4 linked regions of the Saccharomyces cerevisiae S288C genome follow. The gene in region 2 interacts genetically with the main gene of each other region. Each region holds a gene or a part of one and is shown on either strand. Other genes may lie near its edges.

Region 1 (2,839 bases), on a different chromosome or scaffold from region 2:
GGTGTTCCCATTGAAATTGTACCTTCCTCATACGTGAGGGTCAAGAATGATCTATTAGAACAATTGCATGCTGAAAAAGTTGACATCAGACAAGGAGGTTCTGCTAAAGCAGGTCCTGTTGTAACTGACAATAATAACTTCATTATCGATGCGGATTTCGGTGAAATTTCCGATCCAAGAAAATTGCATAGAGAAATCAAACTGTTAGTGGGCGTGGTGGAAACAGGTTTATTCATCGACAACGCTTCAAAAGCCTACTTCGGTAATTCTGACGGTAGTGTTGAAGTTACCGAAAAGTGAGCAGATCAAAGGCAAAGACAGAAACCGTAGTAAAGGTTGACTTTTCACAACAGTGTCTCCATTTTTTATATTGTATTATTAAAGCTATTTAGTTATTTGGATACTGTTTTTTTTCCAGAAGTTTTCTTTTTAGTAAAGTACAATCCAGTAAAAATGAAGGATGAACAATCGGTGTATGCAGATTCAACACCAATAAATGCAATGTTTATTTCTTTGGAACGTTTGTGTTGTTCGAAATCCAGGATAATCCTTCAACAAGACCCTGTCCGGATAAGGCGTTACTACCGATGACACACCAAGGTTGGTTTTTCAAATTTTTCTCCAGTTCTAAAAAATCGGAAACCTCTTGAGGTTTCATTGCATCTTTCAAATCTTGTTTGTTTGCCCATACCAGCAGTACTACATTCTCCATCTCTTTCTCACCTATGATACTATATAACTCTTCTTTGGCCTCTTCCATACGGTTTCTAGCACTAGAATCTATCACAAAGATAAGTGCGGTGGTGGCTGGAAAATAATGTCTCCAGAGAGGTCTCAATCTTTGTTGTCCTCCTACATCCCACATGTTGAATTTTACGTTTTTATAAGTAACGGTTTCCACGTTAAAACCGACAGTGGGAGTAGACGTCTTTATTTTATTTAATTTTAGTTTGTACAATATTGTTGTCTTACCAGCCTTATCCAGGCCTAGCATCAAAATTTTCATTTCTTTCGAGCCAAATAGTTTTCCCAGAACCTTCGAAATTGAATTGCCCATCTCTACAATTAGCTTGTCTTTTCCTTTTTTCCGTTCTAAATCCCAATTATCTTCCCAATGTCAAAGCAACTGTAATGTCTCAGTCTAATTCAGCGTACGTTGCGTCTTACTATGCTTCTGCAAATAGGGTTTTAATGCTGCGTACATCTTCATTATCTTATAAGTGCCATCATTCGGACGGGTAATGGATGAAATCGTCAAAACCCGATTACTTTCTAGTATGTTTTATTTCTGTTTATAATGTAGTCAAAAGAGCTTCAACAGATTTAACATTTGCTTCCGTAAACTTGGTGTTAGGGTGATTCAGTTCTGTGTAAAAGCGTGTGGCATTGAGTTACTCCAATGGATTTTTCTATTCCTCCTACCTTACCTCTAGATCTGCAAAGTCGGTTAAATGAGTTAATTCAAGACTATAAGGATGAAAATCTAACAAGAAAGGGTTATGAGACCAAAAGAAAACAATTGCTAGACAAATTTGAAATCTCCCAAATGAGGCCTTATACCCCGCTTCGATCTCCCAATTCGAGAAAGTCGAAACATTTGCACAGAAGAAATACAAGTCTTGCATCATCCATTACGTCGTTACCTAATTCAATTGACAGACGTCATTCTATCTATCGTGTCACAACTATAAACTCGACTTCTGCGAACAATACTCCCAGAAGGCGGAGCAAGAGATATACAGCTTCTTTGCAATCGTCATTGCCAGGTTCCAGTGATGAAAACGGTTCAGTGAAGGATGCCGTTTATAATCCTATGATACCATTACTACCAAGACACACTGGAGCCGAAAATACTAGCAGTGGAGACTCAGCAATGACGGATTCTTTACCGCTAATTTTACGGGGACGCTTTGAACATTATGATGGTCAAACAGCGATGATCAGCATAAATTCTAAAGGCAAAGAAACGTTCATCACATGGGATAAACTTTATTTGAAAGCGGAGAGGGTAGCACATGAATTGAATAAGAGTCACCTTTACAAAATGGATAAGATTTTACTATGGTACAATAAAAATGATGTCATCGAATTTACTATTGCATTATTAGGCTGTTTCATATCCGGCATGGCAGCTGTACCAGTCTCATTCGAAACGTATTCTCTGCGTGAGATCCTTGAGATAATTAAAGTAACAAATTCGAAATTTGTTCTGATTTCTAACGCATGTCATAGACAATTAGATAACTTGTATTCGTCATCAAATCATTCAAAAGTTAAACTGGTTAAGAACGATGTTTTCCAGCAAATCAAATTTGTCAAGACTGATGACTTAGGGACGTACACAAAGGCAAAAAAAACTTCGCCTACCTTTGATATACCGAATATTTCATATATAGAGTTTACTAGAACACCGCTAGGTCGTCTTTCTGGCGTCGTCATGAAGCATAACATCTTAATAAACCAATTTGAAACGATGACAAAAATTCTAAACTCACGATCAATGCCTCACTGGAAACAAAAATCACAAAGCATCAGGAAGCCATTTCACAAAAAAATTATGGCAACCAACTCAAGGTTTGTTATCTTGAATAGTCTGGACCCTACTAGATCTACTGGTTTGATAATGGGTGTGCTTTTCAATCTTTTTACTGGTAATCTTATGATATCTATCGATAGTAGTATATTACAACGACCTGGGGGCTATGAAAATATCATTGATAAATTTAGAGCCGACATTTTACTGAATGATCAGCTACAATTGAAGCAGGTAGTTATTAATTATTTGGAAAATCCCGAATCAGCTTTTTCCAAGAAGCACAAAATAGATTTCAGTTGCATC
Region 2 (5,664 bases):
GACTTCATCCTTATGCTAATCCTGTACCGAATTCCGACAATGGAAATGAGCAGAATACAACAGACCATAATAGTAAAGATGCAGAAGTTAGTTCTGTGTATTTTGATGAAATTGTATTCAATGAGCCAAATGAAGAGTTTTTCAAAATTTTAATGAGCCGACCAGGAAATTTGTTACCTTCAAACAAAACTGATGATTGTGTATACTCCAAGCAATTAGAACAGGAAGAAATTGACAGAATAGAGATCGGCATAGAAAAGGTTGACAAGGAAATTGACGAATTGAAGCAGAAACTGGAAAACTTGGTAAAACAAGAAGCCATTAACGGAAGTTAGGATCACTGCACCCGGAACAACGGTATTTTCATAACAGCCATAGTAATACAGATCATGGTTTGAAAGGTCGGCGCTCACAAAACCGAAATGTGTGCAGAGTCATATAAACATCTAAACAACAGTTATGATACATATTCTATAAATGCGTAATTTTAGTAACACAATTTAATTGGGGTCGCAAGGCTTCAATGGATGAACGCTTAGCTTCTCTAGTTCAGGGTTCTTCGCAGGAACTTTTGGTTTAGACTTTTTCTTGCAAGGGAGTTCCTCTTCAGATTTTGAATTCGACGGGGAAACTTTTATTGAGTGTTCTTGAGAGGTGTTAAGCTTGTTAGCAGCAACACTTAAATAATGCGGTTTTTTGACAACTGGTGGCTTCTCAGGTTTTGTGGAGGCCTTTGCTGGCTCAGGATCTTCTGTAGTGGACACACCTGAATTTTTGGTAGATGTAGAGATTTCGTCCGGGGCAGTACTGCTCTTCCTTCTAATAGGAGGACAAGGTCGAGGAACAATTTTCCCATTATCTATGGTCTCTTTAGCATGCTGTAATTCTGAAGAACTTTTCTGTAAAGAGACTGGCTTAGATAAAGATAAAGCGGGCACTGGCGGCAGTGGTTTGGGTGTACTGTGTCTCTCTAAGGCAGGAAGATTGCTCTCACCTTTACGCGGCGATACGCTGACAATGGAAATCTCTTTGGTAGGGGAAAGAAGTTTAGAAGATGGTTCCTTATTGTGCCTCGAGGTAGGAGGAGGCGGAGGAAGCACATTGAGCTTACTTTTATCGGGTGATACGTTACTGAGTCCTCCAGGGCCAACAACAGACGGTTGGGGACTGGGACCAGAAAGTAGAGGCGAAACGCACGAGGAAGTATCATCTAGGTCAATTAGTTTTATGCCCGCTGATTGAACGGTTGCATCTAAGGGTATACTTTCCTTTTGTTTTTCCATTCTTGCATGAGAAAGTTCGTCAGGACCTGTAGTTAGTGCTTCGGGATGCGTATTCTTATATTCTGCATACAGCTTCTCAACTAGGTTAAGCTTCTCTTTTTCGTCAACAAATTTCACATTTGCCCTATATGCAGCATAAACTGGTTTATGATCGCTTATTTTTAAAGGTGCGTCCGAATATGCCAATGGATGCAGGTTTTCACCTTTATATATGATTCTATCAGTCCAAGACGGAGTTCTCGCCTTTTCAGAAGTATCATAATTATCTGTGCCATAATCATATTTATAGGTCGGACGGAATTGGAGGGTCGGTTCTTTAAAGCCCTGAAATACCACTCCTTCATTTATTTCTTGAGTCAACTGATCATATTGAAGCAATCTATCAATATAGCCATCCTTTTGAGCCCTTAATTCTCTTCTAACTTCATCATTTGTCAAAGTTATCCTGTAGTTAAGGTCACCCAACCAAAACAACGAATCATGGTGTGGAATTGTCTTTGATCTTGGAAAGGTTATGTTCCTGTAGATATTGTTGTAGTCATTGCGACGTTCGTCAATGTTACTCGCACCTGCTGATAAATGTGTATTAACGAAACAGAATGAAGTTGCCCCATAATCGAATCTAATGGCTACTGCACCTTTGTTTCCAGTAATACCACCAAACCCAGTCTTTTTGGTAGACCCACCTACCTCTTTTATGTTATAGGCTCTATCTGATCTTGCAAAAAATAGTATCAAAAGAGAGGACATCTGTTCCACTCTAAGTAAAAGATATTTTTCTTCGTATTGATTCAAACAGTCAGTAACCATAGTTTCCCAAAAAGAACTTTTCGTATAATCTGCATTCAAGATAGACCCTGCGGTCAACTCTATAACTTCCTGCAACCCTAACACAACGACATCAGGTTTGAATTTATCGCCGATTGGAAATAACCATTTTGACAAATCTGCTCTTCGAGAGTTTCCGTTAACATTGAATGTACCGACAAACAAATTTATGTTAGAATGAGTGGTGAATTTTTCCTCTGACTCTAACAGCCTTTCATTGACGTATTCGCAGATTGGATCATAAAGTTCAACAACTTGCTGGTGCGGTAGTTTGCCCAAAAGTGTGTCAATATTTTGCTGTTTTCCTTTATCTACAAAATTGTTGATGTACATTCTACTAACGGACTTCGTCGCATCAGAAAGGGCGCCAGAAAAAGACATTTTACCTTTCCTTGAATAGGACGATTTCAGAGCATTTGTCCCAGTGTAAATTTGTGATATCTGATCTCCGTTGTCGGCCCATAAAGCATTCACCTTTTGCACAAATTCATTATCGTCGATGAAACTACTGGGTTTTACCAATCGGAAGTCTTCCAAAAATAGTTTGAAAACGGCCAGTGAAATCGTCTGTTGGATCAAATTTGTTCTATCTAAACAATCCAAGCAATTGGTTCTAAAGACACCGTCTTGTTCGGATATTAATCGCCCTTCTTTTACATCGTATGAAAAGTAACCGGCGTCCAAAATTGTGTTTCTTATTTTAGGGATAATCCTACTTGCAGCTGCAAACCCATCTTGCGAAGTTTCTCTATGGAAATCAAAGCTTGTTAGGAACACATCTCTACCGATTTTCATTTTCTCAGAATTTTTCAACTGTTCCTTGTATCGCCTCGATAATTGAATTTCTGAAGATTTAGTAGACAGCAGGTTGATTATATGAACTGGCCCATACTTCTTAAATAGTCTTATAAAATGTTCATCAAACGTGGGCTGTGTTGCTTCAACAGATCTGGTAATTTGAATCTTTGGACTAATCAAAGATGTATCCTGCTCCCAAAAAATTGGAAGGCTTCCTCTTATCTGCGTGAAAGCATAACAATACTGAGAAGAGTACATAATCATTTCTGTTTCAACAAAATTTGCGACATGGCCATCATCATCTATACCACGTGCATTAAACCTTGTGCCTGCTCTTTTCCAACTTTGCCTGGAAATAATGGTAAGTCCTACTTTCAACCTATTAATATAGCTAAAAATTGTTTCAGCAAACCCTCGGATTACGGTCGTGAGGAATCCTCGTTGATCCAATAGTTCTTTGGCCGTTACATCTAGTCTGTCTCTGTATGTGATGATTTCGTCCATAAGAAACGAGTTCCACATAAACTCCCGGTCAAAATCATCAAAACTCAAAGAGTGTTCCGTGAATCCACGTTTCTGCAATGTACAAGTTAAATCAAAATCGGTGCTGTAATAAAAAGATCCATTTGATAATAGCTTTCTTAGTTCATGACATGGATGCTTGGGAGCTTGTTCTTGAGCATTCAAACTCCTAGAGGAAGAAGAACGTAGCGATGATCTAGAAGAATGTGTGGAAATACTAGGAGGCGAGCTTATTGCAAAATCTCCATCATTAGTAACAATCGGATAACCGGATGAATCGATGTCCATGAAATCCCATTTAGAATTATTTAAGCAAAAAAAATCCACAGCATATATTTTGTTAACCGTTTTGTTTGGGATCGGCTGGGCCACCTTAGATTTACCTGTTATGGTTGCTATGAACATAAGGCCTTCAATTTCTATGAGACCAATAAAACCGTATATTTCATGGTTAGATAGTCTTCTGAAACCATTACCATTTAATTCAGCTTTCGGAACCAATTCCACGGCACATGTAGATCTGCGAGAGTTCTTACTGTTTATTGGCCTAAATACCAGTCCATGTGTTTCTGAAACTATTGCTATCTTTCTAGTTTGCTGTTTCGATAGGAGTATTTTCATAGCTACTGAGTATTTGTTTTTGATTCTGCTGCCTTTGCGTGGCCTTTGTCACCAATTCTGCGAACAAAAATATGTTGAGACTATATGAAGCGAGTACTTATTGTCCTTTATGCCTAGTTTTCCAGTTAAATCTCTCTTAATAACTCCAGGTTTGTTTCAATTTCGTCACTAACCGCCAAACAAGTTTCGGGTCACCCCACACGTATTTGGTTCAAGAATATACTAAAAAAAGAAAAACAAGCACTAGCCCTAGATATGGAAAAAAAGATATTAAAACGTAATTCTAATTTAGACATCCGTGCTTCTAGTAATTATATGGTTAAAAAAAAAGGAAAGGAAGTAAATAAATAAGTATAGAAATAAATAGAAGCGAATAAGTCCTGAAATACAGAAAAGTTCTTATGCAGAGCCAGATGCCGCAGCATTCTTACCTTCGACCTCGGCCAAAGATGGAATGGACACATCACCAGAATGGATAATATTGTTAATGGTGGCAAAGATGGCTCTCACTGAAGAATCACCGACATCTTCGGAGACACCTACACCCCATTTGTAGGCCTTTTCGTTGTCGGCATTACGCCTATACGATAGATGGATGTAAGAAGCAGCTTGCGTAGAAGAACCAGAACCTAGAGAATGCTCTGTGTAGTTTGCTACGGCAAATCTCACGTTCAACAAGTTTGATAGGGCGTCGACCAAAGAAGAGATTGGACCATTACCTGTACCTTCAATATCGACGATCTGGTCGCCTACTTTGACTTGACCAGTGAACACTCTACGTTCAGTGCCGAATTTTTCAACATTATAATTGACTAAACTAATAGCTTGGTACTGTTCGTCATTGTAGTTGTAAGCCTCTTTGAATAACTTGGAAATCTCATCTGATTTTAGTTCTCTACCCAAGGAGTCAGCATGGTCTTGAACGGCGCTAGAAAATTCGATTTGCATGTTTCTTGGTAGATCCAAACCCAAAGATCTCAAAATAACCCAAGCGGCACCACCTTTACCAGACTGAGAGTTGACTCTGATGACAGCTTCGTAATCACGGCCAATGTCCTTTGGATCCAATGGCAAGTATGGGATTCTCCATTGAGTTTCACCTTGAGCACGCTTCTTGTTTTGTAAGTTGAAACCCTTCTTAATGGCGTCTTGGTGAGAACCGGAAAAGGCACAAACGACCAAGTCACCGCCGTATGGTGCTCTTTGCGATACTGGGATCTTATTACAACGCTCAACCACATCTAGGACAGAGGTCAAGTCAGAGAAATCCAAATTAGGAGAAACACCTTGGGTATACATATTCATAGCAACAGTAACCAAGTCCACATTACCTGTACGTTCACCATTACCAAAGAGACATCCTTCTACACGGTCGGCACCTGCAAGCATACCTAACTCTGTGGCGGCGACACCGCAACCACGGTCATTGTGACAATGTGTAGAGATGCAAACCTTCTCACGCTCAGTAATATGGGTAGCGAAGTATTCAATCTGATCAGCATAAACATTTGGAGAGGCAACTTCTACGGTAGCAGGTAAGTTGAAAATGATTGGATTTTCCTCGGTAGGTTCCCAAGCCTTCTTAACAGCTTCGCAAATTTCTACAGCAAAT
Region 3 (4,867 bases), on a different chromosome or scaffold from region 2:
GGCATGAACTTCAACGCATCACATAAACTAGTACCATTCTTAGCGATTGTTTTAGACCTAACTTCTGAAACGAACACCTTTCCAGTTGGTTTCAACGACCTTATCACCCAAAGTTTTAAACTGCCAGATAGGCAAGTAAGATTTCTTTTACTAATATACCTACCCAAATTAATAGGTCCATTGAGCAAATCAGAGATCTCCAGTAGGATATATCCACATTTTATCCAAGGTCTGACCGACTCTGATGCCACTCTTAGATTACAAACACTGAAGACAATTCCATGCATTGTGTCATGTTTAACAGAGAGACAACTGAATAATGAGCTACTGAGGTTTCTCGCAAAAACACAGGTTGATTCTGACGTTGAAATCCGAACATGGACAGTCATCATAATAAGTAAAATCTCAACCATATTATCAACGTCAGTTGGTAATCGCTCGAATATTTTAGCTACGGCGTTCACAAAATCTTTGAAAGATCCTCAAGTAAAACCAAGATTGGCTGCTCTTTATGGGCTTGAGAAGTCGATTGAGCTGTTTGATGTGAACACAATCGCCAACAAAATTTTAACAGTCATTGCCCCTGGTTTATTAGATAAAAGTCCCATAGTAAGAGGCAGAGCCAAAATCCTGTTCGAAGAATATCTGGAAAAATTGGAAAAAGAAGCCCAACTTATTCAAACAAACGATAGTACTGCAGATTCGGAAGATGTGAAAGATATTGATTTTGAGAATTACGGTTGTGATGAAGAGGATATGAATAAAGAAGACAATTTGTTAGCCGCACAATTTTTAAATAATTTACGTTTAAATTCTCCCTCAGCAACAACACCAAGTAACATTACCGAGAGCGAAATTGATTCCGCCCAGGATGGAAGTGGATGGGACGACCTCAGCGATACCGATGGCTTTATTACAAATGGTACCACAGAATCCTTCGATGAAACAACAAACCCTGTAACAACCGCAAGCACCCCAAAATTATTCGGAAAACCTATTAAAATTAATAAAAGTTGGAATGATGAGTTGAATGATGATGGCTGGATTCAAGATGAAAGCGGCCCATCAAAGGTGCCTCAAAAACACACAAGGCCACAAAATTCAACGTTGGCAAAATCCATCGCTCCTAGCTCAAGGCTTTCTATCAAGAAGAAGAAAACAACGATCCTAGCACCAAGAAACATTGCTAGTAACTCTACTGTTACCACCAAATCGTCACTGTCCAATAAAACTGCAAGAAGTAAGCCTATAAGTAGTATCCGCGGCTCGGTAACCAAGAAAGGAAATGTTGACGGCTGGGATGATGATGGGGATTCAGACTCCTGGGATACGAATTGGTGATCCCAAGACTTATATAGCCCTACGTATTGTAGAAGGATATATTCAGTGTTAATCGTTATTTAGAAACATTACGCCCGTGCCCCGCGATTTCGCTTCTTTGAGAAGTGGAGGAAAAGAAGGGTCCCTTTAATTCCAGTAGAAATGAAGCATAAGCAAGAAGAGTCATCAGAAAAGGGAACCTTGTAGTACTATAGATGGTCCCACAGAGAAATTAATTGGGACAAAAACAGCTACACAAGCGATATACTTCAAAAGATTCAGATATTGAAAAATTACCAGCCATGCCTCCTCCAACTGCACAGTTCATGGGCCCTACGCAGGCGGGACAAAATGAAAGCCAAAATCAATCATCAGGCGAAGCTGGGGAGCAAAACCAGGAGCATGGGCAAGGCCCTACTCCTATTCTTAATCAAAGTCAACCGGCTTCTTCTCAACCGCAACATCAACAACAAAGGAATGAGTCGATTTCATATTATACAAATTTCAACCAGCCACGATATTCCACGGACGCCTCTATCAACTCATTCTTGAACATATCTGATAACGTACCAGTAACAAGTACAGGAGGACCTAGTTCTGGCGGCGCCTATTCCAATCTTCCACGATTATCCACTTCAAGTACACATCAACCGCCAGACCTGTCGCAAATCGGACGCGGCTTTTCCATTGTAAACAACCTCTTCCCACAACAACAGCAGCTTCAAAATCAGCATCGGCAACAGCAGCAACAACAACAACAGCAGTCGCACCAGCAGCCTCCCTTCAAGACCCCTTCATTTTCGACGGGATTAACGGGAAGTTCTTCTCAATATCAATTTTTACCAAGAAATGATAATACTTCGCAGCCACCTTCAAAAAGAAACTCTGTTTATCTTGGACCTAATGATGGGCCTGATTTTGAATTTTTCAGTATGCAGCAGTCACAGCAACCGCAGTTCCAGCCTAGCAGTAGAAGAGAATCAAACTCTATGAGACCTCCACTGTTAATACCTGCAGCAACTACTAAAAGCCAGTCCAATGGCACCAATAATAGTGGGAATATGAACACAAATGCAGATTATGAATCATTTTTTAATACTGGTACAAACAACAGTAATTCTAATCAGAACCCGTACTTTTTGAGTTCAAGAAATAATTCTTTGAAGTTTAATCCTGAAGATTTCGATTTTCAATTCAAAAGGCGGAATTCTTTTGTTAGAGGTACTTTGGACCATAGCAGCCAAAATGCGTTTATACCTGAATCAAGATTAAACTCACTATCCGTTAACAACAAAGCTAATGGTGATCCTGTCGCGGATAATGTTACCAATAACATGAAAGGAAAAAGTAATGAAGTTGACAATGATGATGGCAATGACAGTAGCAATAACAATAACAACAACAACAACAACAACAACAATGAAAACAACAATGACAACAATAATGATAATAACGACAATAGTATTAATTCCGCCACCAGTACTAATATCCCAAACCAAGAGGACCATAGCCTTGCTTCTACCGATACCACAAGCAATAGTAGGAAAGATCTAAAAGAAATAGAACAAAGACTTCGAAAACATTTGAATGATGAGGATAATTACTCTAGTGCTATATCAAGACCATTGGATAAAAACGACGTAATTGAAGGCAGTGAGGGATTGAACAAACATATAGACGAGTCTGGTATGCAACCTAATATTATCAAGAAAAGGAAAAAGGATGATTCTACTGTGTACGTCAAGAATGAGATGCCCCGTACTGATCCCCCGATGAGTAAAGACAATTCTACTTCTGCTGAAGGAGCAGCAATGGCAAACTTTTCTGGTAAAGAACCTCCTATACCTGACATAAGTTCAGTAAGTGATGATGCTACTAACCTGATAGGTGCAACAAAGGTCGACCAACTAATGTTGATTATTCAAGCAAGAAAGAAAGGTTTCACGGAGAAAGTAAATACCACTCAAGATGGAGACTTACTGTTTAACCAAACGATGGACATTTTACCACCTAAAAGCGAACTAGTAGGTGGTGTGGAGAAACCAAAAGGCACACAAAATACACGAGCAGTTAAAAAACATGAATGTCCCTATTGTCATCGGCTTTTTTCGCAAGCGACTCATCTGGAGGTTCACGTTCGTTCTCATATAGGGTACAAACCATTCGTTTGTGATTATTGTGGCAAACGTTTTACTCAGGGTGGGAACTTAAGAACTCATGAACGACTACACACAGGTGAAAAACCGTATTCATGTGATATTTGTGATAAAAAATTTTCTAGGAAAGGGAACTTAGCTGCTCACTTGGTTACTCACCAAAAATTGAAACCATTTGTTTGCAAGCTTGAAAACTGCAACAAGACCTTCACTCAACTAGGAAATATGAAGGCCCATCAAAATAGATTTCATAAGGAAACATTAAATGCCTTAACGGCAAAATTAGCTGAGATGAATCCATCTGAGAATATTCCACTTGAAGAGCGGCAACTTTTGGAGTACTTTGCGTCCATTTATAAAAATTCAAACAGGGGAATTAAAGGTAGAGGAAAAGGTGTAGGAACCAAAAAATCAACAATTTCCTCACCAGAAAACCATCCTGCGAGCACAATTTTGAATCCAAATACAAATGCAAATAATGCTATTGCTAATGATTCTGAAAATAACGGCAACCCTGAAGGTAACATTGACAGCAGTAGTAACAGCAATCCGGGCTCACATAGTATGATTTCGCCGACGCAAAAAGACATGGGTACGTTGCAATCACAATTTATCCAAAATAATTTTAACAATTCTGTGAACAGTTCGAATCCGTCCAACCAACCAATCATAAACTACAATTACACCACACTTCCTCATTCTAGATTAGGAAGTAGTAGTTCCAGCAATACCAACAATAATAACAGCAACTTTTCGGTAGGTGCAGCTCCGGGTGTATTAATGGCGCCAACCACCAATAATGACTTCAGTTTCAACTTGGATCAATCTAATGATAATGAAAGATCTCAACAAGAACAAGTGAGATTTAAGAACATTAATTACAAAAGCTAGCAGGCCTTAGAGGCACTACCTTTTTTTTTTTTTCGAGTTTCTACACCGTAGTATCTGATTTCATAGTGGTATTCGTCAAACTTAACCCACAAGTGTCACTTTTCCTTTCTTTTTTTCTTTTTCTTGAAGAACTGCATGGTTTTCTAGCTCTTTTTCACTTTTTTGAGGTTTTATTTATCTTGTATTCTTTTTTTCTATTATTTTAAAGGTTCAATTTCTATCGACGGTTTTTTTAATTATATATATATATATATATATATATGTATATAATGAATGTGTAATATTCCAAGTATACGTACCTTGGGTTTATATTTTTTAACTTGTATATTCTTTTACGATAAAATTTCTTCCAATTAACATCCCAGGCCTTGCTTCAATTTATCAATTGGTATATTAACTTTCAACACATTTTGTTTTTGTTTTTATTTTTGTTTTTTTTATTTTTTTTTTTTTTTCGCGTTTCGTGCTTTAATGAAACATGTGAAGTGTTTCGCAATGAC
Region 4 (3,204 bases), on a different chromosome or scaffold from region 2:
TCTATAAAATTGGATATGCTATTATATGTGTCTGTCATCTTATTCCTACAATCTATTGTTGCTTTAGTTTCTGTGCACATTTACCAAAAATATTTCTTCGCATGTAGATTTACCTCTTTTCCCCTGTGACGCGTCATCGTTTTTATATCACCTTTGAACAAAGCAATATATCTGTACTCAAAAGGTACAAACGAAAGTTTTGTTCACGAGAAAGAGATATTTTACATGCGAATTAAATCTTGATTGCCTGAATTCTTCACTATTTTATGATTTTTCCCTTCCTTCTTGAAATTTGATTTATATTTAGTCCAAATATTACAGAAAAAAAAAAAAAAGATGCCTAAGCCTTGGGTCTTATTTCGAACAAATCCATCCATCGGTAACAATTCAAAAAAAGAATATTTCGTCTCGAACAATTTGCTAAGTATTGTGGGTAAATGATATATAAATTTTTATAAAAACTCTTGGCCAAGAAAAAAAAAAAAGACTATGTCTAAACGTAACGTTATCATTATTATTAAATCATTTTAATGTTTTATAAGTTTTGTTTTTCATTTCATACCCTTTAAGGAGCATTTGGCATTGTGTGCGCCCTGAAGGCTAAATAAGAATTTGAAGGACTCACCACAGAACAGTATAGCGAATACCAACCGCAGCAACTACTTAAAATTCCAAAATAGCCACCGGCCATTTTGAGATTGTTGTTGTCAATGAAGGTGCCGATACACAGTAGTAGGAAGGTAAGATCCAAAAACGTCAATAGTAAGAACAAACCCCACGTGCTCTTCAATGTACACATCAACATCAAGAAGGTGAAAACGGTCCAGCCCGCAAGGAAGAACCCAATGACATTGTTCAACATTGTGGGATCGGTATAGCCGCTGACCAAATTATCAGTATCTGTTAGCCCATAACCGTAGCAGATCCAGAACCCGCCGAAAGAACTGAACACAGTCATGGCGTATGTGTCCCCAATGACAAAACACAATAACCCGGCAAACAATTCAATGGCACCACCAAAAAACATAAACAAACTTAGCGCCCATTTACCATCAGTGACGCCGCGAACGTTCGCATTAATTAGCGACAGAACTAGACATGACAGAGAAAACGATGCGAGACCCAAAGGAACCGGATTAGCGAACTGGTGCGGAGTATACTTTGCACAGTTTCCTTCCTCCCCATCCCCTCTGTCTAGTGCATTGAGCAAATCTCTGCGCCTGTAGGTGGAGGATCCTAGAGTAATGAAGTCTCTGTCGGAGTATATCTCTTGAATATTAGGGAAGCCCTGCGAAACGCCTGCAATCGAACCCTGCTGGGGGAGCGTCTCAATATTTTCTAGAGTGTTCACACCCTTTTCCAAATCCTGTGGAGAAGAAGCAGACGATGTCATTTTAACCAGTATTTTTATTTTTTATTCTTACTAAATCTTTCTGGGAATGTATTCAGTTATATGTGACCCAACTGTTTATAAAACTGGGGGAATATTAGGCAATCAAGCGAAGCTCATCGATGAGTATTCAATTTGCTAAAAAGTTGTTTTATTTAAATATTCCTTCTGAGTCACGGTCATCGTGAATAGCGTTAAAATTCTCAAATCCATTGGTGTTTCCATTAGGCCCTGAGCGGTTCCCCAAGAAAAAAAAAAACAGTAGAAAAAAATGATGCTTCTTCCTAACGCTATTGTAGTGCAGGTTCTGCCGTGTGCCAAGTTGGAGCAGCGCCTGCTGAGACTCTTCCGTATGGTTCTTGCTCTTCTCAGGACCAGCGGCGGCAGTTCCGGTTTTTTTCGGCGTCTTTTGTCTGGCACACAATGGGCGATGGAGAGGGAAAACCGGAGGATATGCCAGCTGCGGTGAGATTATGGTTGGAGTTATGTTTGTAGCCGGCGGTGCGGCAATAGGAGAGGGGAGGGGAAGGGGAGGGGAAAAGGTAATGGCTGACGAAGTATAGAGATGGCAATCACAAGCCAAATATTGGAGATTACATGCAAGAATGCTACTGTTATACAAAAGGGTGAAAATTGAGACCCAAATTCCTTCCTTTTTTTTCTTTTTTTTTTACCAGAAGAATTACGTACAAAAGTACCTACTATTTCAAAGCAAGAAATGAGATGCCTATTGTGGTTATATACAGAATAGATGATAAATGGGTTTTCCGTGCAAAACGATATGGAGAATTCAAAATGGGTGCGAAATACCTGGAACGTAAGCGTTCTGAGAAATACACAGACGCATTAACCTGACAAAAACACAACTAGTTTGGGAAAGGGATTTGGTCTTTCCTCTCGGGTCTCTCGTGTGGTTCCTTTCTTTCTCAGATCTCCCTGCACACTGGGCTGTTGTCCTCCAGGTTATGGTTTGTTCTCTTCAGGTATTACAATGCAGTAGGCTTTTGGAGTGAGCAAAACGAAGAGAGAAAAAAATTTTTTCTTAAAAGTTTTTTTTCATTTTGTGAGCTTATTCTTCTTTTCTATATATTCTTGATATCTTAGATTATACATATTATTCTCTTACATTTCACGATTGCCCTTTTGGTGTTTAGCATTCAGACTCAAAGACCACAAACACAAACTATAACATAATTGCAAGATGGTTGCTTTCACTGTTGACCAAATGCGTTCTTTAATGGACAAAGTTACCAATGTGCGTAACATGTCCGTTATTGCTCACGTCGATCATGGTAAGTCCACTTTGACCGATTCCTTGGTCCAAAGAGCCGGTATTATTTCCGCTGCTAAGGCTGGTGAAGCTCGTTTCACCGATACCAGAAAGGATGAACAAGAAAGAGGTATCACTATCAAGTCTACCGCTATTTCTCTATACTCTGAAATGTCTGACGAAGATGTCAAGGAAATCAAGCAAAAGACCGACGGTAACTCCTTCTTGATCAACTTGATCGACTCTCCAGGTCACGTTGACTTCTCCTCTGAAGTTACTGCCGCTTTACGTGTCACTGACGGTGCTTTGGTTGTCGTCGACACCATTGAAGGTGTCTGTGTCCAAACCGAAACTGTTTTGAGACAAGCTTTGGGTGAGAGAATCAAGCCTGTTGTTGTTATCAACAAGGTCGACAGAGCTTTGTTGGAATTGCAAGTTTCTAAGGAAGATTTATACCAAACCTTTGCCAGAACTGTTGAATCCGTTAACGTCATCGTTTCCACCTACGCCGATGAAGTTTTGGGTGATGTCCAAGTTTACCCAG

The links.
Region 1: of INP52 (region 2) and ARF3, extra expression of one rescues a mutant of the other (dosage rescue), as found in Saccharomyces cerevisiae (one study listed by BioGRID).
Region 3: of INP52 (region 2) and AZF1, extra expression of one rescues a mutant of the other (dosage rescue), as found in Saccharomyces cerevisiae (one study listed by BioGRID).
Region 4: mutations in INP52 (region 2) and ATO3 together harm fitness more than expected from each alone (negative genetic interaction), as found in Saccharomyces cerevisiae (2 studies listed by BioGRID).

The regions. Positions count from the first base shown.
Region 1 is NC_001147.6:501,013-503,851, reverse strand, and holds ARF3 (Arf family GTPase ARF3), read right to left. Parts: upstream 1,058-2,839; coding exon 506-1,057; downstream 1-505. Other genes in the region: ribose-5-phosphate isomerase RKI1, read left to right, coding at 1-300; CMR2 (Cmr2p), read left to right, coding at 1,400-2,839. UniProt on the Saccharomyces cerevisiae protein: GTP-binding protein involved in protein trafficking; may modulate vesicle budding and uncoating within the Golgi apparatus.
Region 2 is NC_001146.8:420,444-426,107, forward strand, and holds INP52 (phosphatidylinositol-3-/phosphoinositide 5-phosphatase INP52), read right to left. Parts: upstream 4,053-5,664; coding exon 501-4,052; downstream 1-500. Other genes in the region: YEATS domain-containing protein YAF9, read left to right, coding at 1-335; 2-isopropylmalate synthase LEU4, read right to left, coding at 4,452-5,664. UniProt on the Saccharomyces cerevisiae protein: Dephosphorylates a number of phosphatidylinositols (PIs) like phosphatidylinositol 4,5-bisphosphate (PtdIns(4,5)P2), but also phosphatidylinositol 3-phosphate (PtdIns(3)P), phosphatidylinositol 4-phosphate (PtdIns(4)P), and phosphatidylinositol 3,5-bisphosphate (PtdIns(3,5)P2).
Region 3 is NC_001147.6:532,453-537,319, forward strand, and holds AZF1 (Azf1p), read left to right. Parts: upstream 1-1,622; coding exon 1,623-4,367; downstream 4,368-4,867. Other genes in the region: COPI-interacting protein CEX1, read left to right, coding at 1-1,341. UniProt on the Saccharomyces cerevisiae protein: Transcription factor involved in the diauxic shift. In the presence of glucose, activates carbon and energy metabolism genes, and in te presence of glycerol-lactate, activates genes needed for cell wall maintenance.
Region 4 is NC_001136.10:1,240,639-1,243,842, forward strand, and holds ATO3 (putative ammonium permease ATO3), read right to left. Parts: upstream 1,394-3,204; coding exon 566-1,393; downstream 1-565. Other genes in the region: NKP1 (Nkp1p), read right to left, coding at 1-38; EFT2 (elongation factor 2), read left to right, coding at 2,592-3,204. UniProt on the Saccharomyces cerevisiae protein: Transporter protein required for ammonia export. Induced in rho(0) cells, probably to eliminate the excess ammonia that arises because of a potential defect in ammonia assimilation in those cells.